Rattus norvegicus: one gene and its partners. The protein of the gene in region 1 interacts with the protein of each later gene in a biochemical or structural test. Links are inferred from orthologs where the notes say so. Each region holds a gene or a part of one and is shown in the gene's direction. Other genes may lie near its edges. The genes, in order: H2ax, Mdc1, Ppm1d, Rnf168 and Rnf8.

Evidence for each region.
Region 2: the proteins of H2ax (region 1) and Mdc1 form a complex in vitro, tested with the Homo sapiens proteins (5 studies listed by BioGRID and IntAct, with this or other methods). The link is inferred for Rattus norvegicus from reciprocal best matches to the Homo sapiens genes H2AX and MDC1.
Region 3: of the proteins of H2ax (region 1) and Ppm1d, one has a biochemical effect on the other in vitro, tested with the Homo sapiens proteins (3 studies listed by BioGRID and IntAct). The link is inferred for Rattus norvegicus from reciprocal best matches to the Homo sapiens genes H2AX and PPM1D.
Region 4: of the proteins of H2ax (region 1) and Rnf168, one has a biochemical effect on the other in vitro, tested with the Homo sapiens proteins (2 studies listed by BioGRID). The link is inferred for Rattus norvegicus from reciprocal best matches to the Homo sapiens genes H2AX and RNF168.
Region 5: of the proteins of H2ax (region 1) and Rnf8, one has a biochemical effect on the other in vitro, tested with the Homo sapiens proteins (2 studies listed by BioGRID). The link is inferred for Rattus norvegicus from reciprocal best matches to the Homo sapiens genes H2AX and RNF8.

Annotation. Positions count from the first base shown.
Region 1 is NC_086026.1:53,566,102-53,571,915, forward strand, and holds H2ax (H2A.X variant histone), read left to right. Parts: upstream 1-2,616; 5' UTR 2,617-2,684; coding exon 2,685-3,116; 3' UTR 3,117-3,971; downstream 3,972-5,814. Other genes in the region: Dpagt1 (UDP-N-acetylglucosamine--dolichyl-phosphate N-acetylglucosaminephosphotransferase), read left to right, coding at 506-593, 760-915, 1,001-1,066; Hmbs (porphobilinogen deaminase), read right to left, coding at 4,585-4,758, 4,838-4,924, 5,028-5,081, 5,276-5,395, 5,589-5,627. UniProt on the Homo sapiens protein: Variant histone H2A which replaces conventional H2A in a subset of nucleosomes. Nucleosomes wrap and compact DNA into chromatin, limiting DNA accessibility to the cellular machineries which require DNA as a template.
Region 2 is NC_086038.1:2,903,852-2,910,043, reverse strand, and holds part of Mdc1 (mediator of DNA damage checkpoint protein 1), read left to right. Parts: coding exon 1-982; intron 983-1,093; coding exon 1,094-1,159; intron 1,160-1,297; coding exon 1,298-1,387; intron 1,388-2,346; coding exon 2,347-2,574; intron 2,575-3,159; coding exon 3,160-3,203; intron 3,204-3,969; coding exon 3,970-4,498; coding exon of another isoform or gene 4,499-5,275; coding exon 5,276-5,446; intron 5,447-5,552; coding exon 5,553-5,647; intron 5,648-5,725; coding exon 5,726-5,848; intron 5,849-5,939; coding exon 5,940-6,122; intron 6,123-6,192. UniProt on the Homo sapiens protein: Histone reader protein required for checkpoint-mediated cell cycle arrest in response to DNA damage within both the S phase and G2/M phases of the cell cycle.
Region 3 is NC_086028.1:70,702,836-70,708,280, forward strand, and holds the end of Ppm1d (protein phosphatase 1D), read left to right. Parts: intron 1-1,743; coding exon 1,744-2,301; 3' UTR 2,302-3,195; downstream 3,196-5,445. UniProt on the Homo sapiens protein: Involved in the negative regulation of p53 expression. Required for the relief of p53-dependent checkpoint mediated cell cycle arrest.
Region 4 is NC_086029.1:81,998,594-82,004,785, reverse strand, and holds part of Rnf168 (E3 ubiquitin-protein ligase RNF168), read left to right. Parts: intron 1-2,492; coding exon 2,493-2,614; intron 2,615-6,192. UniProt on the Homo sapiens protein: E3 ubiquitin-protein ligase required for accumulation of repair proteins to sites of DNA damage. Acts with UBE2N/UBC13 to amplify the RNF8-dependent histone ubiquitination.
Region 5 is NC_086038.1:7,680,788-7,687,657, forward strand, and holds the start of Rnf8 (E3 ubiquitin-protein ligase RNF8), read left to right. Parts: upstream 1-3,177; 5' UTR 3,178-3,261; coding exon 3,262-3,372; intron 3,373-6,870. UniProt on the Homo sapiens protein: E3 ubiquitin-protein ligase that plays a key role in DNA damage signaling via 2 distinct roles: by mediating the 'Lys-63'-linked ubiquitination of histones H2A and H2AX and promoting the recruitment of DNA repair proteins at double-strand breaks (DSBs) sites, and by catalyzing 'Lys-48'-linked ubiquitination to remove target proteins from DNA damage sites.

The DNA of each region.
Region 1 (5,814 bases):
GTAGCCACTCTGGGGCTTTAAAGGGTCATTATAGCTTTTGCCTTGGGATAGCTAACGCCAATTTATGCATTTCCTATGTAGAAAGAAGTGAGGGGAAAGAAGAGGTAACTGTATGTGGGTAGCCCATTATAATTTACAACACTTGGGCTGGAGAGATGGCTCAGCAGTTAAGAGCACCTGACTACTCTTCCAGAGGTCCTGAGTTCAATTCCCAGCAACCACATGGTGGCTCACAACCATCTGTAAAGAGATCTGATGCCCTCTTCTGGTGTATCTGAAGACAGCTACAGTGTACTTATATGTAATAAATGAATAGATCTTTAAAAAAAAATAATTTACAACACTTGCTTACTTACATAGTGTGTGATGCTTACAGCTGATGACCCAGAAGCAAGCATCAGAGCCAGAAACCGACTTCAGTACCTAAGTGCTCAGTACTCTTCTTAGTAACCACAGGGTGCAGAGTTCTTTGAGTCATTCAAACGAAGTCATCTTCCCATTGCAGACTCAATACGAAGACAGGCAAACTGGAGATGAGCTATTCCAAGTTCAAGACCAAGAGCCTCTCTTTCTTGGGCACGTTTATTTTAAAGGTAACAAGGTAACAAGGAGGTAAGGCCCCAGGCCGCCATCCTTAATTTGGGAGAAGAGAAACCTAGGCCTTCTCAGGCCCAAGGGGAGTTTGGAAACATCAAGAAGGGCCCTATTTGTGAAGTAGATCTGTGCACCTGAAGTTGTCTTCACCTCTGGTCCCTGCAGGTAGCAGAGAGCCTCCGGCTGGTGACAGTTCACCGAGGGGAGAGTGAGGATGGTGCCTTCACTGAGTGTAACAACATGACCCTCATCAACTTGCTACTTAAAGTCTTTGGGCCTACACATGAGAGAAACCTCACACTGTTCCTGCTGCTCCTGCAGGTACAGCCGAGGGTGGGGCTTAGTAATACAGTGGGGTTTATGTCTCTGGTCAGCCTTGGTTCCAATTCCAGTCCACTTTTCCTAGGTTCTGAGCAGCGCTGTCACCTTCTCCATTCGTTACCAGCTCGTCCGACTCTTCTATGATGTCTGAGCTCCCTGACGACTGCCCTTTACCACACAGTCTCCATTGGACCTCAGCCAGGACCCACCTCTGTCCGCTCCGACCGCCTTCTGGTCCAGGCTCAGCTTCTGCCGTCATCTGTGACTACTGACATCCTGGATGGACTCCTTAGTGGACTTGACGTCCACTAGTTGGACTTTGCCTATGCTTTCTTGAGTTTGCTACTCCCTCCCTTTCTGCAGCCTCACCAGGTGGGCCTGTAGCATCTTTTATGCAAATATTCATGGCTCAACTTTCAGAACCCTAACTCTAAAGGAATCCCCTGGGCCTTGAGAGAGAACCTGGGCTAGGGCTAGAGTTAGGGCAACATACTCCAAGGTAACCTCACATCTGACTATCAAATTAAGTGTTCTGATTAGGAAGAGCAGAGGCAGGGCCATGTGCTCAGAATGGTGACAATAAAGGATTGCCTTTTACTTGTTCCTCTAGGTGTAGCCACTCCTTCCTCCTTTCTTTTTAACCTTTGAGGTTCTTATTGAACCCTAGGGCATCCTTATACTTAAATGCTCTACCACTGAACTATATCCCAAGCTCGACATATTTATTTTTTTATATAGGCATTTTAGAATAGATTGAAAGGATTAGAGTGGGTACCTTTTCCAATAGGATCCCTACCCCTGCTCCCCTCAGACCCTTTCTTGTAAGAGAGGTCTGTCACATACTGAGACCAGACAGAACATATCAAATAAATATTACAGCACAAACTTGTGATAGCATAATGGATAACGGTGCTCCGTTTTCTGGCACAGGATTAAACTCTCAGAAGGTTTCATTTCTTTCATTTTAAACCCTCCCTTTTCAGCCAAGCCTTTAATCCCAGCACAAGGGAGGCAGAGGCAGGCGGATCTCTGAGTTCCGGGGCACCAAGGGCTAATCAGAGAAACCCTGTCTCATTAAAATAAAAGCCAGATGGTGGTGGTGCACGCCTTTAATCCCAGCGCTTGGGAAGCTGAGGCAGGCAGATCTCAGAATTCGCAGCCAGCCTGGTCTACAGAGAGATCCAGGACATCCAGAGTTACACAGAAAAACCCTGTCTCGAAAACCCAAAAATAATAATAAAGAACAAGCAAATAAATAAACCCTTCCCTTTGCCAGATTAGAGGAGGGAGTAGGAAGTGCCCTAACCTGGAAGGAGAAAGGTGCTTACAGTGAAGACCCTTTTCCTTTAAAACCACAGGCCGGCTCAGATTTCCCAGAAACCATAGAGGTAGCTCCAAGCTCCACCCTTCTAGTCTTCGGGTTTGTGGGCGCGCCGTAGCGTTTAAATTTCGCGCGCTCTATACTGATTGGCCATTTCCAAGGGTGATTCGCCTCTGGCTTGCAGCCACTCCGCCTTGTCTTCTTCCCCGGGTAAAAGGTTTTCAAATTGGACCAATCGCTGAGCGCGTTCTCTCGGCTATGGCGCGTCACCGAAGGGTTAATTGCAACCAACCAGAGGTGGGTATTAAAAAAAGAACCAATTAGGCGGAAGCGGGGGCGTGTCCAGAGAGTTTATAAGGGCGAGCTTGCCCGCGCGAGGCGACAGTTGACTGCGGCGGTTGGCGGTTTGTCTCCTGGCGTTTTTCTCAGCCCTTCTACCTCGCACACGATGTCGGGTCGCGGCAAGACCGGCGGCAAGGCCCGCGCCAAAGCCAAGTCGCGCTCTTCGCGCGCCGGCCTTCAGTTCCCGGTAGGCCGCGTGCACCGACTGCTGCGGAAAGGCCATTACGCCGAGCGCGTGGGCGCAGGCGCGCCCGTGTACCTGGCGGCGGTGCTCGAGTACCTCACTGCCGAGATCCTGGAGCTGGCGGGCAACGCGGCTCGGGACAACAAGAAGACGCGCATTATCCCGCGCCACCTGCAGCTGGCTATCCGCAACGACGAGGAGCTCAACAAGCTGCTGGGCGGCGTGACTATCGCGCAGGGCGGCGTCCTGCCCAACATCCAGGCCGTGCTGCTGCCCAAGAAGACCAGCGCCACCGTGGGGCCCAAGGCGCCGGCGGGCGGCAAGAAGGCCTCCCAGGCCTCTCAGGAGTACTGAGGGAGCCCGCGCCGCGGCTGCCCAGCCCTCCCCCACCTCCACAAAGGCCCTTTTAAGGGCCACCACCTCCCTCACAGAAAGAGCTGAGCCACTTCGGGCTCCGGCCCGCCGCGTCCCCATCCCATTCTCTCCTCTCAGTCCTCGCGTCTTTACCCTTCCCTGTGCGGCCTCCGGGTCTGCCACAGGACGCGGGCGCCGGGGCACCTACCCATCCCGGAGCTCGTGACATCGCTTCGCCGTTCTCAGTCGTCGACGGGCTGTGCGGAGAGGTTGCGGCACCTTCCACCTTCCAGAAATCTCGGCCCTTTGCTATGACGTACGGCCGAGGTGGGCTTGAAGGTTAGTTAACCACCACCACCACCCCCCCCCCCCGCAGCTACAACCCCAGCGTTTTCAGCTTGGTGCTTAGCCCTCTCCTGGACCTTTCAGAAGTGAGTTGATTGCCGGACTTTGGTGAGAAGCGGATCATACTGTTTCACTCTGTGTCCCCCTTACTGGCCTCTCAAACCAGTTGACCCTGTCGTCATTTGTAGGCCGGCATGTTATAACGTGAAGCCAATTTTTCCAAGATAAACTGGAAAGGGTCAGGGAACGCCTATTGGCCTGTGGACAGAAGAATTGTATACCTGCCGCAGAAGACTAGAGGAGCCGGGCCTAGCTATCCCTCTCCCTTAACTCAAACTACAACCCAAACACCCAGATACCAGCACAAGTCGGTGAATCCCTGTCTGGACTGAGCCTCTGGCTTCTGAACTGGAACTTTTGCAGCTATTACAAGTTTAGAACCTTAAGAAGTGGGGAGATTCAATGGGCTAATTTTATTAAAGGATCGTTTTTGGTTTGTTTTTTTTTTTTAAACGGAGTGTCTGATTTAATTTTGAATGCCTAACTTAACTTTGAATGCTGTAGTCCCAGGGCTGGACATTTACAGCTCCATAGTCGAGGAGCCATGTGCCCAGAACATCTCGTGGGAGGGAGTGGGACTAGAGGATAAACTTACCTTCCTTTCTGCAGGCACTGGGAATGAAAGGCTATGTGAAGATCCTGTTAACTAAAGACAGGCAGGCTGTAGGGATGAAGGCTAGTTTCTTTGCTTGGTTGAGAATGATCAGGATGTTTTACAACAGAAAGGTCCCAGACTCAGAATTCAGGTTTAAAAGGGCTTTGGGTTTATTCATATCTTCCCCCAACTCCAGGAGAACCACATTCTGAACTGATTAGTGGCATTGGTTACATTAAAAGATTGGCATGGACTTTCTCTAAAGAGATGAAGCCCACAAACTACTGAGGGAAAGGCAGTCATGGAGGCCCCAAGTTGAGGCATATCTTCCAAGGCCGAAGTCTCAACAACTCTGGTTCAATCTCCTGGGATAATCATTCCCCTTGTTAAGGAGCACAGGGCACTTGACAGCCAGACATAGGCACTGGAGTGACAGCTGGGGTTCGGTTCCTGTGCCCTGCAGGCCAGTTAGCGCACATCATTAAGCTGCCGTGCAACATCTAGGATGTTCTTAGCTCCTTTGTTGAGCAACAAGCTTGCCAGGCTGATGCCCAGGTTCTCAGCAGCTAGCTGGGCTCCTCTTGGAATGTTCCGGGCAGTGATTCCAACCAACTGTGGGTCATCCTCTGGACCATCTTCTTGCTGGATGACAGGAGTTATAATTTTGGTGAGAAGATTAAAAGCAGTTATATTTATTCCTCCCTCATCTCCCAGTCAGTACCTGAACAGGGACCTGGATGGTGGCCTGCATGGTCTCTTGCATGCTATCTGAGCCATCTAGACTCCAGACTCCACCAGTCAGGTACAGCTAGGAGATAAAATGTTTGTACCAGTATAAAGAAAGCTGCTTAGATGTTTGGGTGTACATGGAAATGCCAGTCCCTCCCCCTCATCCATTTTCCCCAGCTTACTTGCCCATCCTTCATCACTGTATGCACTGCTACTGGCACGCTACAGCCTCCTTCCTGCAATGATATATATGTTCCTTTGAGCTCTTTTGACCACAAACCTCTTAAGAATGTAACTGAGAAGGCTGCTGGGACCAGACCAAGGTCCTCTCCACACATAAAACATTACATACAGAGTACTTGAGAAATCTTCCTATTGCCCTTCTTGGTTTCCCAAGTCCCCACAACACCATAGGAGGAACCCATCTTACCAGGTGCCTCAGAAAAGCCCTTTCAGCAATGCAGCGAAGCAGAGTTTCAGGATCATGCAACACACCCACTAGGTCCAAGATATCCTGGTCCTTGGCTCGGACCTCCACCGCCAGGGCTCCCTAAAGGAACAAAAGGTCTGATCTCCAGTGAAGGACATGGGAACACCCCTCTTCTACCTGCTTCCCAGGATCTAATGCATGCCAAAGGCTGCTCCTCCCCAAACATTTTATTTGATAGGTAGTGGATGTCAAAGGTTATGAACCCAAGTTCTTGAAGGAGCACTTCAATAAAGCCCACTCCAGGCAAACTTACCTGACCCACAGCATACATGCATTCCTCTGGGTGCAAGATCTGTGGAGACAGACAAAATTGTGAGATGGGGTGTTCAAAGTGAGTGAGCTAGGGTTTGCCAACCTAGGAAGCCTGGGAAAGGTACAAGTAGGAAGTCCAGCAACTAATCCCAATATCTCTAGCCTGGGCTTGTGTTGTTGGCAGAGTGGTCAAGAAGATATCAAAGGCAGGAGAGAGGCAGAACAAG
Region 2 (6,192 bases), on another chromosome or scaffold:
GGGGATAGTGATACGGACGTAGAAGAAGAGAGGGTCCCTGTGAAGAAGAACCAAGTACTGCTTGGGGTTGGTATAGGGGGTCCAGGAGCACGTGGTGTGGCACATCTGCAGGACAGCCCAACTGGTAGTGACACAGATGTGGAGGAGGACAAGACTGCACTGGCTGCCCCTCCAGAGAGAAGCCACACAGCCATGGTGATCAACAGTGATACAGACGAGGAGGAGAGGGGTGAGGAGGAAGAGGTCTCGGCAGCACTCACCTTGGCCCGTCTGAAGGAGAGAGGAATTGCTTTGTGGAGTGGAGAGCCAGGCACAGAGGAGGTCAAGTCCCAACCACAGGTCCTTGTAGAACGAAGCCAGAGTGCCTCTGGGAGAGACAGTGACACTGACGTGGAGGAGGGATCCTCAGGGGGAAAGAGAGAGATTGTCCCTGACAGCCCCATGGATGTAGATGAGACTCTTACTGTCACACAGCCAGAGAGCCAGCCTCCCTGTAGGCCCAATGATGTAGACGAGGATGTGGATATGAGCTCCCCTGGCAGCCATCTAGAGGGAAAGAAGGCCTCCTCTGCTCTGGTAGACAAGAACAGAGCACAAGTGGAGGAGGAAGTCCCAGGGCCATCTGTTACCCTGGGGGAGAAACACCAGGTGCCTCTAGAGGGAGCCCAGCCTCCTGAGGAAGCCCGGGAAACAGCTGTGCAGGAAGGCTCATCCTCACCAGTGGCAGACATAAGAATGAGCCAGCAGCCAGTAGCGGAAGATGCTGGGACAGAGTGTGCTGCAGCTGTTTCTGAACAGAAAAGTGCTCTTGAGGTCGGGGCTCAGAGCAGGTCACCTGCAGCACCCGTGGAGCAGGTGGTGGTACGCACAGATACTTCAGGGGATCCTACCCTGCCACAGAGAGAGGGAGCCCAGACCCCCACAGGAAGGGAAAGAGAAGCACATGTGGGCGGGACCAAGCATGCCAAAGAGTGCTGTGATGGTAAGTGTTGCCCTCTGCTCTGCGTTTGACCCTTAAATAAGGCTTAGGAGAGAACTGCAGGAGTCTTCGGGATGAGTTGATTTTTATTTGTCTCTCATCTCTTCCCACCAGAACCTGAGGATCTGTGCCTTTCAGCCACCCAGTGCTTTGTGGAAGGGGAGAGCCAGCACCCAGGAGGTGAGGACATTGTGTGCTTTGGATGGGAGTGCCAGGGAGAGCTGGGCGATCAGACCAGTGGTCCTTGAAAGGCGATGTGGCCAAGTAGGGGGATGGGATTCTGGGACAGCTGCGTTGTGCCCACCTTTTCTTCTACAGCTGTCCAGAGTTTGGAAGATGAGCCTACCCAAGTCTTCCCATGCCTTCCCCAAGAGCCTGGACCTTCCCATCTCAGCCTCCCGACTCCAGGTACACGGAAGTCTCTGGACCCCCAGCCTTGCATCCTTTCTTATTTTTCCCTCCACATCCTTCATATGCTGTCTTGTTAGATTTACCTATGCTGATCTTCCAAGTGCCGGGATTATAGGTGTGTGTCATCAGCTAGGGATGGACTAGGACGTCATGAATGCTGGATGAGCTCTCCCAACTGAGCTGTATTCCCAGCCCTGCCTTTCATATTCTTTCCCTATTTTACTGATGTTCTCCATTTCATCAGGAAAAGAAACTTATACCAGACATGGGGACACACACTGTCTCCCAGAACTTGGGAGACAGAGGCAGGAGCTCAGGGCCATCCTGGACTGCATAGAAAGTTTGAGGCCTTGACTAAATGAGAACTTGTCTCAGAAACAACAACAACAAAATCCAACAACATGGGCATGGCTCAATGGTTAAGAGTGGCCATTGTTGTTCTAGAGGACAAGAATTCAGCACCCATGTCAGGCAGCTGGCAACCACCGGTGACTCCACTCCTGGAGATTCATCGCTCTCTGTGTACCCACACACATGATATACGTATGAATAGAAAATTTTAAAATACATGTTAAAAAAATAAATAAAAATGAGATTGCCTAGATTATCCTGATTCTAGTTCAGGAGATTTAGGTTGGCCCAAAGACTCAAATTGGTTTTCCCTCTACATTCTCCTTAGAGTTTGAACCCAGGGTTTTACCTGTGACAAATGAGTATTCTCCTAAGATGAGTGTTTTCCTAAACCACATCCCCAATCCTTGTTTTTCAAATGAGCCTCCTGAGGGAGCCTGTGTATGAGGTTATAATCTTCTGAATAGCAGCAACATTACAGCCACTACCCTACTCCCAGATTTCCTTTTGTAACCCATTTAGCTGTTTGTGAGTCTGCCCTAGTTCTCAGCCTTAGTGATTTTGTTTACCCATGTACTTACCTCCTTTTTCTGATCCTTGTTTAGGTGCAGATACCTTGGATGTGCCTTGGGAAGTCTTGGCTACACAGCCGTTCTGTCTGAGAGAACAGACAGAGACCTCTGAGCCCATTGACACCCATGAAGCTCATGGATCTCAACCATCTCTACCTGGGGAACCACCAGGACACCAACATCCGGTCCCTACCAGCCTAGATCACACAGAGCTGTTGAGAATTGATGACAGAGAGATGCAGACTGTGGAGAAAGCCATGGGTATACCAAAGGAAATGGCAGAAAGGGTGACCCCTGAGAGAGAGCCATTGGAGAGGGAAATCGGAAAGAAGAGCAAACAGTGAGAGAGAAGATATGATAGGAAAAGAACTAACTCAGGGGACAGAGGACAGAGTCAAAGAAGGTGTTAGCTAAAGACAGTCAGAAAAGAGGCTGGCGAGGACCCTGAAGAGAAGAGGGAGAGTTTGGAGGTAGAAATGGAGATGTCCAAAGACTCACAGAAGAGAGAGAGAAAAGCAGAGAAAGCAGAACCAGAGAGAGAATGGGAGTTTAGAAGTAAGCCCAGATAGAGGGGAGACAGAGGAAGGGAGCCATGAACAGAGAGGGCAAACTGCCAGTCTAACACCAAAGCCTGCTGGGGTGAAGGATCTTGAGGGTCTTGCATCAGCCCCAATAATCTCTGGGAGCCCAGGAGATGGAGGAAAGGGAGACCCTCTGAGCCCCAGGAGGCAGCGGAGAGATAAGTGTGAGGCAGGGGCAGCCAAGTGGGATGTAGTCCTTGTGGCAGTCAGGGTCTGACCTACAGCTGCACAGCGCTCAGCCACTCTTGCTTTACTCTCTGACCAGGCCACCTAAGTTGCCAGATGATGCCAGATGGAAAGGCTTCCGGGGTGAGCTGCTCTCTTGTGCCCTACTTCCCCGGCAGCCAGTTCACTACATGTCCATGTGTGCATGTGTGTGAGGGTGTGTTTTTGGGGGAGGTGCATGAGGGAGCCAAGTGACAGCTTTGTGTTGTTGTTCAGGGACTACCCAGCCTTTTAGCAGGGTGATGGTCAGGATCTCTCAAACTGGCTTAGAATATGCTAAAGTAGACTAGACTGCCTGCCAGCAAGTTCCAGGAATCCTCCTGTCTCCTCCCTAGCATTGGGATTCTGAGCATATGCCACTATACTTTGGGTTCTAGAAATGAAATTCAGATCTTGGTGCTTGCCTTGCCTACTGACCTGTCTCCCTGATCCCAGTTTTCTTATTCATCACTCATTAGTTGGCTTCCATTCCTGTGTCCTGCCACCCATAGTTCCCTTTTTTGACCCAGAGGTCTCTGTTTTGTCCGTCTTTGCCCCAGGCATGTCTTAGTTGTCATACTCACCAGTGCACATAAGATATCTTCCATAAGGTATCCATAAGATTGCTTCCTTCCCCAAGGAGTTCCTAGCCTAAGAAAAGTTACAGAAAGAGACATGCCCGTGAGTGCTGTGACCATAAGTAGACTCAAACCTGACACGTGAACAGCCCTTGGAAGTAAAGATAGAAGAATCAGTGGAGGACGGTGGAGTTACATGAGCTATGACTTCCTCAGAAATACTGAAAAAACTCAAGATTCTTGCCTGCCTCTCCTAGTGCCTTTTGTCAGTTGCTTCTCCTTCTCCTCCTCAGGATGACCCAGAGCCCTCAGACCATCGCCTGTTTTCTCCAGTGCCTGAAGCTTCAGCTTCACCTCAGAGTCTCCTCACCTCTCAGAGCCAAAAGCAATCTACACCTCAGCCTATGTTTCCCACTTCTTCTTCTGAGCTAGCCCTTCCTGAGACTCTTCACACAAAGCCTAATGTCAGGCCACGGCGGTCCTCCAGGATGACCCCCTCCCCACATTCCTCTGCTGCCCTTAAGCCTTATACTACCTGCCCCACAAACCAGCCTGCTGCTTCTAGGCCAACATCTCGCCCCACTCGGGGCAGGGCAAATAGGTCCTCTACCAGGACCCCAGAACTGATTGTCCCTACAGGCCCTGAGCTCCAGCCTTCCACCTCCACAGAACAGCCTGGCATTCCAAACCTCACTTCTCAGGTCACTGAGGGCAGGGCACATAGTACCTCTGTTAATATGCCTGAACCAGTTCTCACAGGTCCCGAAGCCCAGCCTCTCACCTCCGCAGAACAATCTGTCACCTCAAACCTCAATCCTCGGGGTAGGCAAAGTAGGTCTTCCGTCAAGACCCCACAACCACTTATTTCCACTGGCCCTGACCTCCAACCTCCCACCTCCACAGAACAACCTGTCGTACCTAAATCCACATCTCGGACCACTCGGGGCAGGCCACCTAAGTCTTCTGTCAGGACCCCAGAATCAGTTGTCCCCACTGGCTCTGAATCTCTCACCTCCATAGAACAGCCTGTTATCCCTAAAACCAGGGCCGCTCGGGGTAGATCAAGTAAGCCTTCTATCAAGACCCCAGAACCAATTGTCCCCACTGGTCCTGAACTGCAGCCTCTTACCTCTGCAGAACAGCCTGTCACCCCTAACCTTACATCTCGGGCCTCTCGGGGTAGGTCAAATAAGTCTATCAGGACCCCAGAACCAGTTGTCCAAACTGGCCCTGAATTCCATCCATCCACTTCCTCAGAACAGTCTGATACCCCTGAGCCCTCATCTCAGGGCAGGACACGTAGGTCTGTCAGGACTCCTGAAGCAAGTGTTTCCACAACCCCTGCACTCCAGCCTTCCACTTCTAAAAAACAGCCTACCCCCAAGCCCACAGCTCTGGTCACTCGGGGAAGGACACATAAACCCTCCACTGAAGGTTTGGAATCAGTTGGGCCAGTGGCACCTGATTTTGAGCCTCCCACCTCTACAGACCACCTTGTTACCTCTAAGGTGACAGGTCAGAGCTTAACACTACAATCTTCACCTGTAAGTGCTTCCCCAGTTTCCACTACCCCTGAACTCAAGCCTCCTGTCCTCATAGCCCAGCCTCTTACCCTGGAGCCAGTTCCACAAACCAGTCACCAAAGGAGGCGAAGGGCTACTGGGAAGCAGGGCTCCCGCACAGCTCCTGTTGGTCCTAAGTCTTACTCTACCCCCGCTGAACCTGAACCCCAGTCTTCAGCCAGCCAAAGCTCAGGAGCATCAGAAGCAGGTGAGTTCATTACAACCACTCCTGATGAGTCTGCCATTCCCTCGATGCATAATGAAGCCCATTCCTACGGCTTCTGGAATCCAAAAGAAGCCTTCCATTACCACAGATTCACCCCATCAAAAACGTCCCCGAAGACAAGTCACCCAGAAAACTGTAGTCGTCAAGGAAGAAGATCCTGGAGAAATACAAGTGAAGGAAGAGGTAAGAGGAGAGCTGGGGTCTCCCTAGCTAGGAGCAAGGGCTACAGGGCTCAGAGATGCCCACTGAGATGTTTTTCAGCCTCAGGAGACAGCAATTCCAACACCAGGCAAGAGAAAGAGGGACCCTGCAGAGGGGGAAACCCAGGGAAACCCAACTCGAAGCCGGCGAACTAAGCCTAACCAGGAAGCAGCAGCCCCCAAGGTAGGAAACAAGGGCCAAGGATTGGTGGATGGGCGCTATGCTGCTAGTATGGGTTGCTGTGACCATCTTTGCACCCCATCCCCTGCCCCAGGTACTGTTCACAGGAGTGGTGGATTCTCGTGGAGAGCGTGCAGTGCTGGCTCTAGGAGGCAGTCTGGCCAGCTCAGTAAATGAGGCCTCCCACTTGGTTACTGATCGCATCCGCAGGACAGTCAAGTTCTTGTGTGCCGTGGGGAAGGGAATTCCCATCCTGTCCCTGAACTGGCTCTATCAGGTAAGCCAGAAGATGATGCGTGGCTGGAAAGGACTGCTCGTTTAGCCTCCAAAGAAGGAGTGGGAGGGAG
Region 3 (5,445 bases), on another chromosome or scaffold:
CCTGTCTTTTCAGTTGACATCTGGTGTCTAATGTTCACGGGATGGGAAATTACTATCTATTTTTCCATTATGGTATGATTGCTTTTAATATTGTACTTCATAGTTCCTAGATGGATAATAGTCACAGATTTTTTAGAACACCCTGGAAAATTTTCACTTATAGTTTTAAGATCGCTAGTTTTAACTAGTTTTTGTCAAGAAGCCATTTATAGGGCTGGGGATGTAGGGTTCAGCTGATAGCTCGCCCAGCAAGCATGAGGCCCAGGCTTGATTGAGTATATAAGATGAGTGGGTCTCTGCAATCAGCACTGTAAAGTAGAGGCAGGAGAATCAGGAATCTGCGGTCATCGCTAGTTATAAAGCAAGTCCAAAGCCAGTCTGGGTTACATGACACACTGTCCCAATTTTTTTTCTGAAAAGGCCATTGAGAGGCATCAAGACAGTGCTTGCTGCCTAAGTTCAATGCTGGGGTCTTCAGGGTGTGAGGAGAGATCACATGTAACTTGCCTCCTGACCTCTACATATGCATACTGTTTGTGCATGCTCATATACACACAAGCTTTTGAGAAGTTAACAAAAATTTTAAATTGCATTTATTTTGTGTGTCCATATTTTCACACATACATGCCATGGCAGGACAGTAATATAAGCCTCTAGGTCTTAATGCAGTCAATAGAAATTTGGTCCTTTTCATCCCAATTGTGTCATCATTATGCCACATAATTAAAATTGAAAACAAGCATTATTTGATTAACCAGAAAGTTGGGATGTCAGCTTAAGTTTGTCATGGGCTTGTGTCAAAAAGCAAGGATTTTATGTAAAATAATTAGAGCTAGTTCATCAGTAGTATATTACTGTACATAAAATTCAAATACAGAGTTTCTGCTGGCAGTGGTTTTATATAACTTTAATTTCAGCACTTAGGAGACAGAAGCAGGCAGATCTTAAGAGTTTGAAACCAGCCTGATATAGCAGGATTTGGGGCAGCCAGGGCTTCAGTGAAAAATTCTGTCTCATCAAACAAACAAACAAACAAACAAACAAAGTAAAATATAGAGTTTGGGTAAAGAAATTAAAATATCAAAAGCAGTAATTTAGCCCTTTTCTGCATCTGGGCACAGAGTGCATGTCTTGGTAGAGTGTGTGCTTGTGGCTGTTTTAAGGGGTCTGCTTTGAAGCCTTCAAGTATTTTACTTGGTCCCAGCTGTAATTCAGGAAGACCTGTGAGCACATGGTTTTCTCCCCTTAGGTACATGATGCTATCTCTTGTGATGAGATGGGTTCCTTCTGGGTTCCTTTGTACTGACTCCTTTCTTTGTAACCCTCAACTTAGTGCAGTGAATTTACGATGAAGGAAAGTGAGTGCATGCCTTGCTTTTGCCATCTGTTTGTTTTTGAGATAAGTTTTCTCTGTGTAGCCCTGGCTGTGTAGAACTTGCTTTGTACACCAGTCTGGCCTCGAACTCACAGAGATCCACCTGCCTGTCTTCTGAGTGCTGGAACTAAAGGTGTGTGTTACCACTGTCCAGCTGGTTTTACTATCTTAATAATGTCTTTTTTTTTCCTTTTTTTTTTTTTTTTCCCGGAGCTGGGGACCGAACCCAGGGCCTTGCGCTTGCTAGGCAAGCGCTCTACCACTGAGCCAAATCCCCAACCCCTCTTAATAATGTCTTAAGAACTTACTGTCTGTATCAGTTTATCGAGCATAGGATAAATATTTATTTTTCCTTTTTTTCCCCCCAGTCACTGGAAGAAGATCCATGGCCAAGGCTGAACTCTAAGGACCATATACCTGCCCTTGTTCGCAGTAATGCCTTCTCAGAGAAGTTTTTAGAGGTCCCAGCTGAGATAGCTCGAGGAAGTATCCAGACTGTAGTCATGACCTCAAAAGACTCAGAGACACTTGAAGAAAATTGCCCCAAAGCCCTGACTTTAAGGATTCATGATTCTTTGAATAATACTCTGTCAGTTGGCCTCATGCCAACCAATTCAACAAATACTATCATGGACCAAAAAAATTTAAAGATGTCAACTCCAGGTCAAATGAAAGCTCAAGAAGTTGAAAGAACCCCTCCAGCCAATTTTAAAAGGACATTAGAAGAATCCAACTCTGGTCCCCTTATGAAGAAGCATCGACGAAATGGCTTAAGTCGAAATAGCGGGGCCCAAGCTTCGAGTCTCCCCACAGCATCCCAGCGCAGGCACTCTGTCACACTGACCATGAGGCGCAGACTCCGGGGCCAGAAGAAGATGGGGAATCCTCTTTTACATCAGCACCGGAAAACAGTGTGTGTGTGCTGAGGTGGGCCTGGGAAGTGGGGATCTCCCTTCCTATGACTTGAGGGCTTTTTACATTTGGTGCCGAAGTTGAACTTTTTTTAAGGGGACAAAATAAAGAGTATACAGTTTGACTTTTTGGAATTTAACAGTTTTATTCTGGCCTTGTACTTGCCTGTATTATAAATGTGAAATTTGTAGATGTAGGGAATAAGTTGCTGTAAAATGTGTGTACATTTGTATCCTTCACACAAATTTAGTCTCTTATTCTGACACACAGTAATTGTGACAACAGGGCTAATGTTGAAGAAAGGTCAGAAGAATCTTTACGATTTTAAAAATGTCTTTAAAGTTTTTAAAATGCTTATTACACACTTGTATACACCCCTTGTGAAGAACACGTGACTTTTTAAAGAAAATTACTAAGCAAACTGGAAAAGTGAAGTATTTTCATAGTGCTCTGTGCTCCACTTAATGTTTCCTAGGGACCATCAGTGTCTTTTTAAAATTACATTTTATTTCACATTTCATAATTCAGAAGTAAACCTTTCATAGGAAAAATACTGAGCTGTGCTAATGTAGCTGATTTTAGTCTCCTTGTCCCACTTACACTATGCAGTATCTTGTAACTTCAGTAGCATTCTTCTAGAACAGTACATCTGGTGTGCTTACTGAAATCTCTGGCACAGATGGCGGTGTGTTTGCCTAACACACCACTATCTGTCCCAGACCAGTGGCATTAGGCCATATAGTTACTCTCTTCTAGTGTTTGCTTAAAATACGTGAAGTTTTTCTTGCTATTTCAATAACAGATGGTGCTGCTAATACCCAACATTTCCTAAATTATTTTATATCATACAGGCTTTCATTGGTTATATGAATATGTCTATCCAATAAATCAGTGAACTATTGCCCTTACGTTGCTGGCGTTTTGTTGGTGACTCTTCACAGTAGGTACCAACAGTCAGATATGAGATATACCTGTGCTTTCTTGACTTGAAATACATACAGTACTCATTTTTTATTAATACAGAACACAGACATGAACTAAAATGTCTAACAACATGCTTCACTTACAGGTTCTAAGTGTTCAGTAAAGCTGTGTCTCCTTTGGTAATAGAATAAAAGCTCAAGGGAAGTACTGAAGCTCTAAGATTCTATAAATGTGGTATGTGTACAACTGTGCTTCTTAAGGAACATCTTGGGGGGTTGGGGATTTAGCTCAGTGGTAGAGCACTTGCCTAGGAAGTGCAAGGCCCTGGGTTCGGTCCCCAGCTCCGAAAAAAAAAAAAAAGAACCAAAAAAAAAAAAAAAAAAGGAACATCTTATCTTAAGCCCTTAATTTGGAACAAGAAACCTCATTGAGGGCTTTGGATGTGCTTGAGTTGGGTGAGTGCTTGCTTCACACACAGGAAGCCCTAGGCTAGATCCCAGCACTGCAAAAACTAGAGGCAGGAGGATCAGAGATTCAAAGTCATCCTTGTTACAAAGTTTTAGGTCAACCTGAGAATCATGAGACCGAGTCTGAAAATAGTAGTGTATAAAACAAAACCAGGGAGACAAATGAGGAGCAGGAGAGATAAAAGGACTCGGGGTTTAGTGTGAGGGTTTACGTGATTGTTTGCTTAACAGGTGCAAAGCCCTGCATTTAAAAAAAATTATTAGGGGTTGGGGATTTAGCTTGGGGGTAAAGTACTTATGGCCCTGGGTTTGGTCCTCAGCTCTGGTGGAGTGGGGTGGGGGAAGAGAACTTCATTAGTATGTGTACGATTAGTTTGCCTGCATGGCAGTATGTGCAGCACGTATATGCTTAGTGCCTGTGGGGGCCTAAGAGGGTGTCAGATCTCGTGAACTGGACTTAAAGGCAAGTTGTGGACCAGTAAGTAGGTGCTGGAAATAAAAAAAAAGGGGGGGGGTTGGGGATTTAGCTCAGTGGTAGAGCGCTTGCCTAGCAAGCGCAAGGCCCTGGGTTCGGTCCCAAGTTCTGAAAAAAAGAAAAGGAAAAAAAAAAAAAGTACCTCAGGAATACCAGCCAGTGTTCTTAACTTCTGAGCTATGTCTAGCCATAAGACCTTGCATTTGATCCGTAACACTAGAAAAACAAACACTGGCTTGGATATGCTATGTTGCCTACTACTTTTGAATTCTGTCTCTCTGGATGGCACTATTGAAATACTGAAACCTAGGTGGACCCACTAGGATGGCTTTCGGGATCCTCTTATAAAGGGGATTATAGGTCTCTTGGTAATTACTAAATATGCTAATTGTATAAATTAGTTGGTTTCATTGACATGTCTTCAAAAAACATACCCTGCAATTTTAGGTCTGTCTTTCAGCTGTTATCTCCTCATTTCTGCCACTACCAGGTCCTGAATGGTTCCTGAGTTAAATTCTTTTGATTGTTTGACCTTGGGTCTGTAGGTTTGTATTTTTTACCAAATTTAGGTATCTTTCAGCTATTAACTTTTCCTAGCGCACCCCCCCCCCCCTTTTACAAACATCTTCTTGATTATGAGTTGCACATCTCGCGGCCCAGTCTGGCTCATCTCCCAGCCCCCTCATGTTCACTCTTCTAACTTGCAACTTCCCCCACAAATAAAAAAACCAACCCCCCCAAAACAGAAACCATCTCATCATGGAAGCTATAGTGCGTCTCAGTGTGTCCCACAGTATACCGCTCTGTCCACATCTTCACTTGCAAATGTTCATTGCAACGAGTCATTGGTCTGGTTTGAAATCTCTGGCTTCTGTGACACCATCAATATTGGATTCTCATTGGGCCTCCTGGTTATCCTGTTGTTGCCCCGTGTCTGTGCCATGGATATCCTGCAGCTTTGGATCAGCAGGACTGGCCCTTTTACATGTCCCAAATGTTTGCAGATTGTTGGGATTTTGGGGTGGGCCAATTCAGAGCTCTGGATCTGGGTCTGGGTAGTAGCTGAGGTGATTGGTGTGTGGGATTTCTCTTATCTATACCACCAGAGTGATCTATGTAGGAGGCCCTACATAGATCTACACGTTCTTACGCCCTCATGAGAAGGCTGGCTCACCGTTATCAGGGCTAGCTTCACTGTGCTGCCCAGGTGAGGTGCAGGACCTCTGACCTTGCGAACTAACACCACATTCTTACGTTTTAATTTCCTTTCACTTTTCTTTGATATGTTTTTG
Region 4 (6,192 bases), on another chromosome or scaffold:
TTTTTTTGGTTCTTTTTTTCAGAGCTGGGGACCGAACCCAGGGCCTTGCGCTTCCTAGGCAAGCCCTCTACCACTGAGCTAAATCCCCAACCCCGAGAATATATTTTATAAAAGTGAAGTATACCTCGAATTTTTTTATGACTCTTACCATTTATAATGTACTTTAGCTTTATGATCTTATCCGCCTTTTATTGTATAGCCTTTCGTCAGTTTGAGTTAAAATTTAGAGAGATGCACCATCAGGAAATTAGACTGACCAGCTATGGGTTAATCCTAGCACTTTGGGAGGCTGAGGTAAAAGGATCACTGCAATTTCAAGGTCAGTGTGAGCTACTTAGCTAAAACCCTGTCTACAACAATCATAGAAACCAGAGAGTGGTGGGGGAAGAGAGGCAAAGAAGGAGAGAGGGATGGCCAGATGTAATAGTGTGATGAGCTGGGTTCGGTCCCCAACTCCGAAAAAAAGAAAAAAGAAAAAAAAAATAGTGTGATGAGAAGGAGACACTGAGGATGGTGAGTGGGTTGAGAGGGAGACACTGAGGATGGTGAGTGGGTTGAGGAGACACTGAAGATGGTGAGTGGGTTGAGGAGACACTGAGGATGGTGAGTGGGTTGAGAGGGAGACACTGAGGATGGTGAGTGGGTTGAGAAGGAGACACTGAGGATGATGAGTGGGTTGAGAGGGAGACACTGAGGATGGTGAGTGGGTTGAGAGGGAGACACTGAGGATGATGATGGGTTGAGACACACTGAGGATGGTGAGTGGGTTGAGAAGGAGACACTGAAGAAGGGAATTTGGAGCCACTTGTACCTGCTAATTCTAGTTTTCACATGAGGTAGAGTAGATTTATTGAAGTTTTAGGATTATTGTTGGTTTATTGTAAAATTTTAGAGATAGGTAAACAATTAATGACTTATTTCTGTGTAATAACTTTTGCTCTAGATATATTCTTGGCTCTTTAACTAATATTTTCCACAACAGAGTAAGGTAGCTACAATTGCATGAGACTGTCAGGCTGACGAGGTAGCTCAGTGGTAAAGAGTGCTGCTTACACTCAAAGAACCCCAGTTTGATTTCCAGTACCCACATGTCAGTTTACAGCCGTCTCTAACTCTGGTTCCAGGGTATCCAACATCCTCTTCTGAACTCCCCAGCTATTCGGCATGCATATGGTGCAGACATGAACTGGTAAAATACCCATACACATAAGTAAATCTTTTTTAAAAAAACAAAACAAAGCCATGAGATTATCAGATAGAAGATTAATTAGTATCTTCATTTCTTTGAAAGAGTATTTGTGTGTGTGTTGTATTTAATTTTATGTATCTGATATGTGTGTGTATAAGGTACAATTTACATATGTTACATATGTAACATGACTAGATATATAGTAATAGATGCATTTAATTTAGCAAACTTGAATAGGCTTAATTTTGTTTATAGAGGTATACCTCTATATTTCAGTTAATTTTGTGATCTATCATACATACAAAAATCTAAAGATGATCAAATCTTACATAAAACGGCATAGCTTTGCATATAACCTAAACATGTCCTCCTGTATGATTATTTTCACTACATTTATGTGTTTGGCGAGTATGTATGCACGTGCACATGCGCTTACACGAGCAATCAGTAGACAACTTGTGAGAGTTGGTTCTCTGTTTCTATCTTCTTGATCTTAAGATGGAACTCAGGTTGCCAGACTTAGTAATGAGCACCCCTAACTGATGAACCATCTTGCCTTCCATGGACTTTAAGTCGTTACTTATGATCATGTAAATGCTATATGGATGCCTGTTGCAAAATAAAGTCTTGGGAATGAAAATGATGTATATAGATACTTGGTGGTCTTTAAATAACTTTACAGAATCTAAGTTAGGGACTAGAGTGATGGCTCAGTGGTTAAGAGTATTGATTGCTCTTCCAGAGGTACAATTTCCAGAACCCACATGTCAGCTTACAACTGTCTCTAACTCTAGTTCCAGGGGCTCTGACACCTTCACACACACATACAAGCAGGCAGAAGACCAATGTACATAAAATAAAAATAAATTATTTGTCTTAATTGGTGTTTTACTGCTGTGAAGAGATACCGTGACCAAGGTAACTCTTATAAGGACATTTAATTGGGGCTGGCTTACAGGTTCAGAGGTTCAGTCCATTATCATCAAGGCAGGAGCATGGCAGCATCCAGGCAGGCATGGTGCAGGAGGAGCTGAGAGTTCTACATCTTGTTCCAAAGGTAAACAGGAAAAGACAGGTTTCCAGGTAGCTAGAAGGAGGGTCTGAAAGCCAGTGACACACTTCCTCCCATGAGGCTGCACCTTCAAAGAGTGCCACTCCCTGGGCCAAGCACATTCAAACTACCACATTATTTTTAATTTTTTTAAATTAAAAAGAATTTTGAGTTAATACAATTCAAAGCTTTCTATTTTTCATCAAGTTCTCCTTAATAAAATGTCTTTGTATGTGTTTCTTGTTACTGAAGAACAGTAACTACGAGAGAAATATCTTGGCATCTCCTTTGAGTTCCAGAAAATCAGATCCCGTCACAAACAAGTCACAGAAGAAAAATACGAACAAACAAAAAAACTTTGGAGATATTCAAAGGTAAGTGAATATGACTGTCATTTATCCACTGATCGTCTACTGTATGTAAGCCTTTGGGTGTGTTCATATTGACTACCAAGTCTTTAAGGTTTGTTAAGGAGCTTTGGTTTTGTCTTTTAAAGACTTACTTATTTACTTATTTTTATGTGTTTAAGTGTTTTGCCTGCATGTAAATGTATGGAATGTGTGTCTGGTGCCCTCAGATGCCAAAAGACAGCACTGGAATCCCTAGTACTAGAGTTATGGGTGTCTATGAGGCAGTGTAGGCACTGGGAACTGACCCGGCTCTGTATCAGGCATGGCAGCAAGCACGTATACCTGCTGATCATCTTGCCAAAAAGCTGTTTCAATGGAAAGCTTGAGCCAGTCAGTGAGTGTCGCACACCTTTAATCCCAGTACTCAGGAGGCAGAGGCAGGCAGAACTTTGTGAGTTGAAGGCCAACCTGGACTACAGAGCTAGGTGTAGGATTGTTCTAGTTCTGTGTAGCCTAGGCTACACAGGGAAACCCTATCTCAAAACAAACTAAGAGCTGGAGAGATGGTTTACTGGATAAGAGCACTTCTTGCTCTTTCAAAGAACCCAGGTTTAATTCTTGGATTTAAATCAGGTGTGGTGGCTCCTAAACCACTCAAGGGATACCATGCATTTTTCTGGCCTCTACAGACCATGAATACATATAGCATACAAACATACATAAAGTAAACATTAAATGAATCTTTAAAATGTGGGCTGGATCTGGACACAGTGGGGCATATACATGTGCACACCTTTAATCCAAGCATTTGGGAGGCAGAGGGAGGTGGAGCTCTGGAGTCCAGGACAGCCAGGGCTACATAGAGAGTCCGAGTCTTGAAAAAACAAAACAAAAGCTTCTGTTTTGTTTTTTTTTTTTTTTTTTTTTTTTTTTGGTTCTTTTTTTCGGAGCTGGGGACCGAACCCAGGGCCTTGCGCTTCCTAGGTAAGCGCTCTACCACTGAGCTAAATCCCCAGCCCCTTTTTTTTTTGTTGTTGTTGGCTCTGTTTGGTTTGGTTTTGCAGCCTTGGCTGTTCTGGAATTCACTCTGTAGATCAGGCTAGCTTTGAACTTATAGAAGTCCACCTGCCTCTGCCTCTCAAGTGCACTACCACTGCCCAGCTAAAATCAATCAATCAATCAATCAATCAATCTCTTTTTCTTTTTCTTTTTTTTTTTTTTTTTTTTCTTTTCTTTTTTTTCGGAGCTGGGGACCGAACCCAGTGCCTTGCACTTGCTAGGCAAGCGCTCTACCACTGAGCTAAATCCCCAACCCCCCCCCCTTTTTTTTTTGAGGCTAGCCTGGTCTACAAAGCTAGTTCCAGGACAGCCAGTGCTGTTACACAGAGAAACTGTCTGATAGAAAAGAAAAAGAAAAATGAAAAGAAAGGAAACTTTTTAAAGTAACAATGAGGACTGACAAGGTAGCTCCATGGTAATCTGTGTTAGTTCCCTAGAGCCCGAGAAAAAGAGGGGACAAAGAACTCCACAAAGTTGTCTTTGGAATGCACACACACACATACACACACACACACACGTGCACACACTGTGGCAGTCATGTGCTAATAAACATCAAACCCCTTATACACACACACAGTAATAAGTAGTAAGAGATGAGATGAGAAATGGAAGTCTGTATGAGAGAGGTGAAGAAGAGGCCCTGTAGGGAGGGAACTTTATAACCAGACCTCCTCCCAACACACAACATTAAACCAAGTAGTGCGTGTGAGAGTGCGCCAAGCTCAGCAGTGTTTCCTGGGGATTTCCGCATGGCCAGAGACCCTTTGGAGTAAGGTAGAGACTATTCGTACAAGTGTCAAGTGTTGTGGTTCATGAATCCCCATACATGGAAGACAGAGGCAGGGAGAGCTCTGTAAATTTGAGGGTCTCCTGTCTTGGAGACCTTTTATAGAATACTATCTCAATTTTGGAAAGAAGGAGAAGAAAGAAAGAAAAAACCTCTTTCCAAATGGTCCCATATTACCCCCTTCTTGCTGTCTTTCAAATTCATGGCCCCTTTTTCATTAATTGTTATTACGTGCATATATGTATGCTTATATACATAACATATTCCTAAATACAATCTGATCAGTCTTTATATTGTTACTTATAGGCATGTCTTCAGCAATGATCATTTGATACTGGAATTGTTGGGCTTTTCCCTTAGGAAGAGTATTCCACTCTCAATGTTGCTTGTTTGCTTGTAGTTCTTTGTTTAGGGTCAAGGCTTTGCAGGCTTTCCCCTGTCTTTGGCATGTCAAAGCTGAGTAATTATAATCTCAAAAATAATATATACACACAGAAGTTCACATGTCATTCACTCTGGTCTTTTCCAGTGATATTCCTTTCCTATTACTGTGTTTTATATGGTTCTTAGATGTGGGCACTACTATTCTTTCATAAGCTGGTTTTTTGTTTTGTTTTGTTTTGTTTTGTTTTTGAGACAGTCTCTCTTCTTTGTGTAGCCCTGGCTGTCTAGGAACTCACTCTGTAGACCAGGCTGGCCTCAAGTTTAAATATCAGAGGCCGGGGGGCTGGAGAGATGGCTCAGTGGTTAAGAGCACTGACTGCTCTGCCAGAGGTCCTGAGTTCAAATCCCAGCAACCACATGGTGGCTCACAACCATCTGTAAAGAGATCTGATGCCCTCTTCTGGTGTGTCTGAAGACAGTTACAGTGTACTTATAAGAAAGAAAGAAAGAAAGAAAGAAAGAAAGAAAGAAAGAAAGAAAGAAAGAAAGAAAGAAAGGAAGAAGGAAAGAAAGAAAGAAAGAAAGATCAGAGGCCGACAGATCTGTCAGCCTCCGCCTCTACCTCCACCTCCTGAGTGCACCACCACTGCCTGGCCATAAATAATTTTTTTTATGCCTTATATATTTCCTTGATAAGATCTTTAAAAAAAAATCACCAAGGACTATGGTTGCTTTTTTTTTTTTTTTTTTTTTTTTTTTTTTTGGAGCTGGGGACCGAACCCAGGGCCTTGCGCTTCCTATATGGTTGCTTTTTAAAAGATGCTTCGAACTAGGTGTGATTGATGAGACATAGTCCCACTTATTCTAAAGGCTAATAAGTAAGACAGGAGAACTTGGGTTTGAGCCCAGCCTGGGCATCGTAAGTGACCTGGTAAATCCTTGTCTAAAAAGGAGAAGGCAGAAACTGCTGAAATCCACGTTTTGCGGTTGGTAGCGGTGAGTGAGGTGGGGTACTGCAGAGCCCTTTGACACTTCAGATTGCCAGGAGAGCCTTAAGGACTGCTTCCTGCAGCCATCTTGAAATCAAGTTCCAGAGGAGAAACAAAGTCATCAGAGGAGGATAATGAAATCCTCTCATCTAAATTTGGGGTGTCAGATGCCTCTATGGTTCGTGGTGTTGAAAGAAGAGCATACATCATGTGTCAGCTCTTGTACTAATTGCCACCAGTAAACCTTTTTTACCATAGGAGAGAATTGGTTTAAAGTAATAACAAATACCTATTAACATGTGTGAGAACCTGGATTCTTGCTGGAAGAAACAATTAAAGCCATTTTCTCACGCTTTTATTGTAAGAAAAAATAATAGCCAAAA
Region 5 (6,870 bases), on another chromosome or scaffold:
CTCCTGTTCATTTTCAAGCTCGTCGGAAACACGACCCCGTGGGCGAGCTTGGCTGTTAGAAATCTCCCACTCCAGGCTTCCAGTTTGGGTGGAATGGGAGTGTCCAGCTTAGCAGAGTTTAGGTAGAGGAATAGCGGCGCTAGCAGGCATTAGCAGGGGGTCTAGTGTTTCCCATTCGATTGCAGCTGACCCTAGGCTGGCAGGGGGCACCACTGAAAGGAATGTCAGATTGCATTTCTCATGTTTCAGCTTGAATCTTCTATTTAGAGGCCGGGTGCAGAGGCATAGAAGATAAAGGAGTCAGATTAAAGGTAGATCCAACCAGAATGGAGAGCCCTCAGTCCTAGCTCCCTGCTCCCACCAGACACGCACAGGTTGACTCATCCTGGGAGAGGGAGGAGGATATCACCCTGAAGTCACCCTGCAGTTTCCACAAACCTCAGGTGTCTGCCTGCCTCCTCCCTCCCCCTAGCTCTAGGATAGGTAAATGCAGGCTTCCCTTGTAAAGCTGGCGTGTGAAGCAAGAGAAGAGAACAGAGAAGGCAGGACTCAGACACACACATCAAGACTCCTTTTTTGCCCAGCTCGGTCTTTCAAGAAAAAGCCTCTGTCTCGCCTCCCCCGAGCCCCATGCAGGGAAACCCGATTCACATCATTAGCGGGAGCTGCAACCCAGTGACCCACCCCTGCTCGCAAAAGGGAACGGCTTGGTTTGGGTTTTTCAAAGACATGTCTTGCTCGGATGCAGCTTATAGATTAAAAAGTCTAAAGCTTAAGGAATGTCTTTATAATATTACACAGCTTAAAGAGAGAAAAACCTTATTTTTTATGTCTCTTGTGTAACAGAGGGTAGAAATGTCATAGATGGGGCTGGAGAGATGGCTCAGCGGCTAAGAGCACTGACTGCTCTTCCAGAGGTCCTGAGTTCAAATCCCAGTAACCGCATGGTGGCTCACAACCATCTATGATGAGATCTGATGCCCTCTTCTGGTGTGTCTGAAGACAGCTACAGTGTACTTATATATAATAAATAAATAAATCTTTAAAAAAAAATAGACAAGTACACAGCTCCTCCTTCAAAACCCTGGAATTGGGGTTGGGGATTTAGCTCAGTGGTAGAGCGCTTGCCTAGCAAGCGCAAGGCCCTGGGTTCGGTCCCCAGCTCCGAAAAAAAAAGAAAAAAAAAAAACAAAACAGAACAGAAATATGATAAGAATATGTTTTTGTTTTAGTCCCAGGTGTGGGATATGGGGCTGCTCCAGGACGTCCACAGCAGCTGACTGTGATTTGCTTCATGCCCTAGCAGGGGTGTGATTTTTTTTCCCATTGGCAGAGAGTCTCTGTGATTATGTGACATTTGGGATTCTGGGGACTTTTCAGAGGGTGGAGAGACAGGGTGGGTTTTTGGTTAGTTGCTATTGGTCTTGGTTTGTTAAGTAGTTGTGCGCAAAGGAGAATGAAGGAAGGAAGGAAGGAAGGAAGGAAAGAAAAGAAAAGAAAGAAGAAATCTATCCTGATGGCAAAGATCAAACTCAATGCCCCTAATCAACAGGAAGTGTCTTAACAATAGTATCGTCCCTCTTCCTTTCGGTCTCCTTCCTTTTCTCTCCTATCTGGTGTTAGGGAGTTGAATGGGTGTGAAGGGTGGAAGAAAGAACCCACAAAGTAGCAAATGTTAGCTACAGTTTTCATCTTACAAGTTGGGAAACTAAGGCGTGGGGCAGTCAAATAGCTTCCTCAGCACCTATAGTAAATAGTAGGCTTGGGATTGGAACTCACGAAGCCGGGTTCTGTAGTCTGTATTGCCTCACTGTGCTACAGTAGCCTCCAGTCCACTCTCAAGTCCAGGGAGCTGGTCACACACAAACCACCTCCGTACTTTCACAGAGATAAAAGAAAGAAAAAAACAAAACAAACAAACAAACAAAAAAACGGCAGGCATGAGAAATGGCACATCGATTAAGATGAGCTGCTCTTCCAGGGGACATGGGTTTGGTTCCCAGAACGCACATGGTGGCTCAGGACCCCAGAACTCCAGTTCTAGGGGGATCCAACAATCTCTACTGGCTTCTTCTGCAGGCATCAGGCATGCACTTGGCTCAGAGGCATACACGCAGGCAAAACACCTATAATGCAGACATTAAACAACAACAACCAAACTCCTGGGTGGAGAGATGAGGGAGAGTATCCTCTCCCCAGCCCCTTCAAGGCCATTCCCATTCATTCTCTACCCCCCCCCCCCATGAGCCCCAGGTAATGTGATCCATCTCTACAGATTTGCCTGGTATAATTTTTTAAAATTCATTAACAAAATGAGGTCATGGAGAGAGAGAGAGAGAGAGAGAGAGAGAGAGAGAGAGAGAGAGAGAGAGAGAGAGAGAGGCTAAATAGTAACTAGACCAAATCAACTTTAAAATGATCAGAGTTTTATAAATCAAATAAAATAGTTATGGCCACCATCAAAATGTAGTTATGAAGCAATTTTTGCTTTGGTGACACGGTCTCATATCCCAGGCTGGCCTCTTAACTCATTGCATAGCGGTGGATGCCCTTGAATTCCTCGTCCTCCATCACACCCTGCCAAAGAAAAAAGGGGGTGGTGGGGTGGAAATCAGAGGTTCCAGTTCATTGATGCAGCTTCTGGGGTAGTAATAGCTTTGGAGAGCTCGGGGGAGGAAGATATTGGGAAAGTCATTATATTCACAAACCCAAGGAAAGACAGTGCCTCTTGTCATTTACTACGATTTTATAATTTAGGTGTTTATTCGTGTGGGCACACAAACCCGCTAGGCGCGCATGTGGAGGTCAAGAGGCCAATTTGAAGAGTCAGTTTCCCCCTGCCACCACGTAGGTGAAGCCTGAGCATCGGACTCTTGACTCGACGCTTGGCAACAAGCAACTTTACTCGTTGAGCCATCCTCCAAGCCCTATGATTTACATTTTACGGTTTTGGGGGTTGGGAGACACAACCTCACTCGGAGGCCCTGGCTGAGGTAGGTCAGCAGAAGACTTTAAGCCCGCCCTTTCGGACTCAATACCTGCGCTCTCCCCGCCCTCCGCCGCCGTCGCCCTCCCGCTGCGCACGCGCAATGCCTGCCTTCCTAGCCCAGGGGCGGGCCCGCGCTCGCCGCGCCACCGATCTCCGGGCGATTGCTTCTGTCTGGTGTTTAGGTATGGTGCGCGAGAGGCGCCTCGGAAGCGATCGGAGCCCAGGCTGGAGTTTGGCTGGTTACTGAAAGTTGCCCCGGTGCCGAGCGGGCTATGGGCGAGCCCGACCCCTTGGTCTCGGGGCAGCTCGCGGCCCGCCGGAGCTGGTGCTTGCGGCGGCTGGGGATGGACCGCGAGTGGCTACAGCTGGAGGCTGGGAGTGAGGTGAGAGCGAGCGGCCTGGCAGGCTACGGGAGCGGGAAGGCTGAGGAGCGGCGCCGCGCACATCCGATCCGGCCTGCCCGGAGGCGCCGAGGCCTCAGCGGGCTCCAGGCCACCTCAGGGCTTGGAGGGACCCGGCCGCGAGGCCAGGCGAGGCCGCGGCTTGAGGTCGGGGCTGGAGGGCGGCTGCGCGGGAGCGGGGCCCGTGCGGGAGCCGCTGTAACGGACGCGGGCCTGCCAGCGAGGAGAAGGATGGGGTCGAGAACAGGCACGGTCCCCGTTAAGGGTCTCTTAGAGTCTTGCGGTGACCCAGCTGAGACGGGGAAACTGAGGCAGAGGCGTCCCCACTGACTCCAAAGGATGGGGAGCCTGCCCAGGGAGTCTGAAGATGGACTGCGTAGACTCTCGGAGTTGATTTTAAGTGCGATCGCGAGTTTAAGGGTAGCTTGCTTAAAACCCTCGAACTGTAATGTAAAATATGTAAATAAATAAAGTCTTCCACTCCATCTCCGAGGGTAATTGGCGAGCCGGCGTGGACCACGGTTGCATTCCCAGAGTCCCGAAGTGGGTTAGCCTTCTCTCCAGAAACTGCTCACAATATTTGATAATGCAAACTTTAGGGGCTGGTGCTGTATCCCGAACCCAGGGTCTCGTACTTGGAAGGCAGGCACTCTACCAAATGTATCTTCAGCTCCATACATGCAAAATTAAAAACAAAGGCCAAAAGGGGAGGCACAGTTTATAGGCGGGAGGGAGGTGCTGGGGCGGACTGCGTCCTTGTAATCAGTTCTGGAAAGGGAACTGGGTCAGGGACGAGCTTGCAATGTAGAAACCCTTGGGGTGCAGTACTGAATGTTTGGTCCTGTGTGCTGACTGGTCTTATGTCAAGTTGGCACGGAAATTAGAGTCATCTGAAACGAGGGAAACTTAATTGAGAAAATGCCCCCATAAGATCTGTCTGTAAGGCATTTTAATTAATGATGGATAGTGGTGGTGCCATCCCTGGGCTGGTGGTCCTGGGTTCTATAAGAAAGCAGGCTGAGAAAACCAGTAAACAGCACCCTCCATGGCCTCTGCATCAGCTCCTGTCTCCAGGTTCCTGCCCTAAGTTCCTTTGATGATGTTCTTCAATTCAGAACTGTAAGCTGAATAAACTCTTTCCTCCCCAACTTGCTTTTTTGGTTATGGTGTTTCCTTGGCAAGAATAGTAACCCTAAGAGATCATCTAAGTTACATTCAGTGAATTGGTAAGGTTAGAATTTCTGATAAGCTGTATAATTCTCAGTTGAGAGACAAACATAGGGATTTGTGACTTGAACCAGGGAAAAAGTATTTTCACAGCGAAGGAGCCTGAGACCATCTGGGTTGGCCAGGGTCTTGGGTTATTTAGGAATATTCTAGAGCAGGTCCTGCTTTAAGTTAGGCATCAGAGGGCTGCTTATTTTTTTTACATATGAGGTTTTTTCTTTTTCTTTTCATCTTTATTACTTAATCTGATCCGTGAGCATTTACTAGTCCCTCACAAACCTGTAGGGGAACTTGATCCATTAAGTACTGACTTAGTCTCTGAGACTCCGTCCCTTGGGCTAATCCATTACTCCCGAACTGCTCCTCAGACTCAGAGTAACAGGGCACAAACACTACTGGGCGTGTCTACGCAGTGTCACCGATCTGTGTGGAATTACATCTATGGGGCAAGGCCCAGACAAACCAGGAGAAAGCTGAATCTAGGATTGACTCACCTTGGCGGCCTGTGTGTAAGGGAAGCCCGCCCAGTGACTTGCAAAGTCCGGTTGTTGGCAGCATGTGGAGCGTAGTCTGCAGAGCGTGTGGAGTCGGAGTCAAACCCTGGATGAGCTCTGACTGTGGCTCTCAGGTGCTGGTACAGGTGGGTTTGCGGAAGGTTCTGAGAGGTGCGCCTGGCATCGGCCAATCCTAACAGCTAAAGCCGGTTAGTTCCTGCCTTTCCAGTTTCCCTCAGAGCTTCACTGTGCAGATAAAAATCTAAAAACACTAGAGATCTCCGTATCACACAGGAGCAAATTATCTGCCTTTAAGCTTCCTGAACCAATCGGGATAGTTTTGTCTAAGTACAAATGACCGGGGGGTGGGGGGGTGTTGATCACAGGTGAGCCCCTTGCAGGCCTGCAGGGAACATCGCCTTCCGCCGCCCGCTTGCTTCTCTTGTGTTTGGTTCCCTTGACTCTACCCTGAGTGAGCTGGAAAGGGAAAGGGGTGGGATAGCTCCCGAGAGTGTACTGGTTCTCTCAGCATCAGAGCCCTGCACAGGAGGATCGGGCTGGTGAAAGTGGTTGAGAAAACAAGGGCGTCTAAAGGACTGGAGGTGGAGCAGCTGTCATGGGGAGCGGTGCTGACGTGGAACCATTGTGAAGCCCAGGACAGCGAAGCGGAGGGAGGACAAGGACATTTCCCCTCTCTGGATTCTAAGTCCATTTCAGAGCAAGGTGCTTCTCTCCCTGATGGCAGTCAGGCTGTCTCCCATCGCGTCAAATGGATATGGAATGCTTCCTATAAAACAGTTACCAGAGACGGGAATTGTTGGTGAACACGGACGGGATGGCAGACGATCCCTAGACACCGCATCGCCATGCTAGTCCTTGGACCTGGGCAGTCTTCATGTGAAAAAAATGTGTATGTATGTATGTGTGTGTGTGTGTGTGTGTATGTATGTATGTGTGTGTGTGTATGTGTGTATGTATGATATGTATGAGGGTAGTTATCTGCATGCTGCAGTGTATGTGTAAGGTCAGAGGACAACGAGTCTGTCCGTTCTCTCCTACCGAGTGGGCCAAGATGTTGAACTCAGGCTGTCAGGGTTGGTAGCAAGTGCCTTTACCCACTGAGCTATCTCGGGGTCTGCCCCCCCAGTTTCCAACTTCTGACATAAAACAACACTCAAATATCGCCCGTTTTGGAATCTGGGCCTATCCTATAGGCAGGCGGGCGTCCTCTCCCATCCCCACTTCCTACTGCTAGGGTTCTGGGCACACCTACCACACAGGGTTCAGGCAACACCCCTGTGTTGTCAAGTATCTGCTGTGTAGTGGGTCAGAAAGCAGTGGGGATGAGATGTGCACTCTAGGAAGCAGTGAGGGCAGGATGGACAGGTAGGAGGGACTTTAGGGCTGTGCTAAGTGTATGCTGGTAACGTGAACTTCGTGAACTGTGTCTCACCACTTGTAGGTGAGTGTAATTAGTGTGGGCCCTGAGCGGGTGAGTCTGGGAAGAGGAGTTTACGGTTCTGAGGAAAGCATTTTAAGCAGAGCCCAGTGTATATGAAAAGGCCCTCGGTCGACTGGAGTGTGGATAGCTTTAGGTTAAGTGGGGTTTGAAGACGAGAGGTGATCTGACCTTTTCTCTATCCGCTCTGTAGCTACTGTGGGAAGAGAAAGACTCAGAAAGGAGCTGAAAGCCCAGGACTAGGTGGACTGGAGGTGGCAGTGAAGATTCCCAGGGCAGAAATGACCGCAGGATAGGATT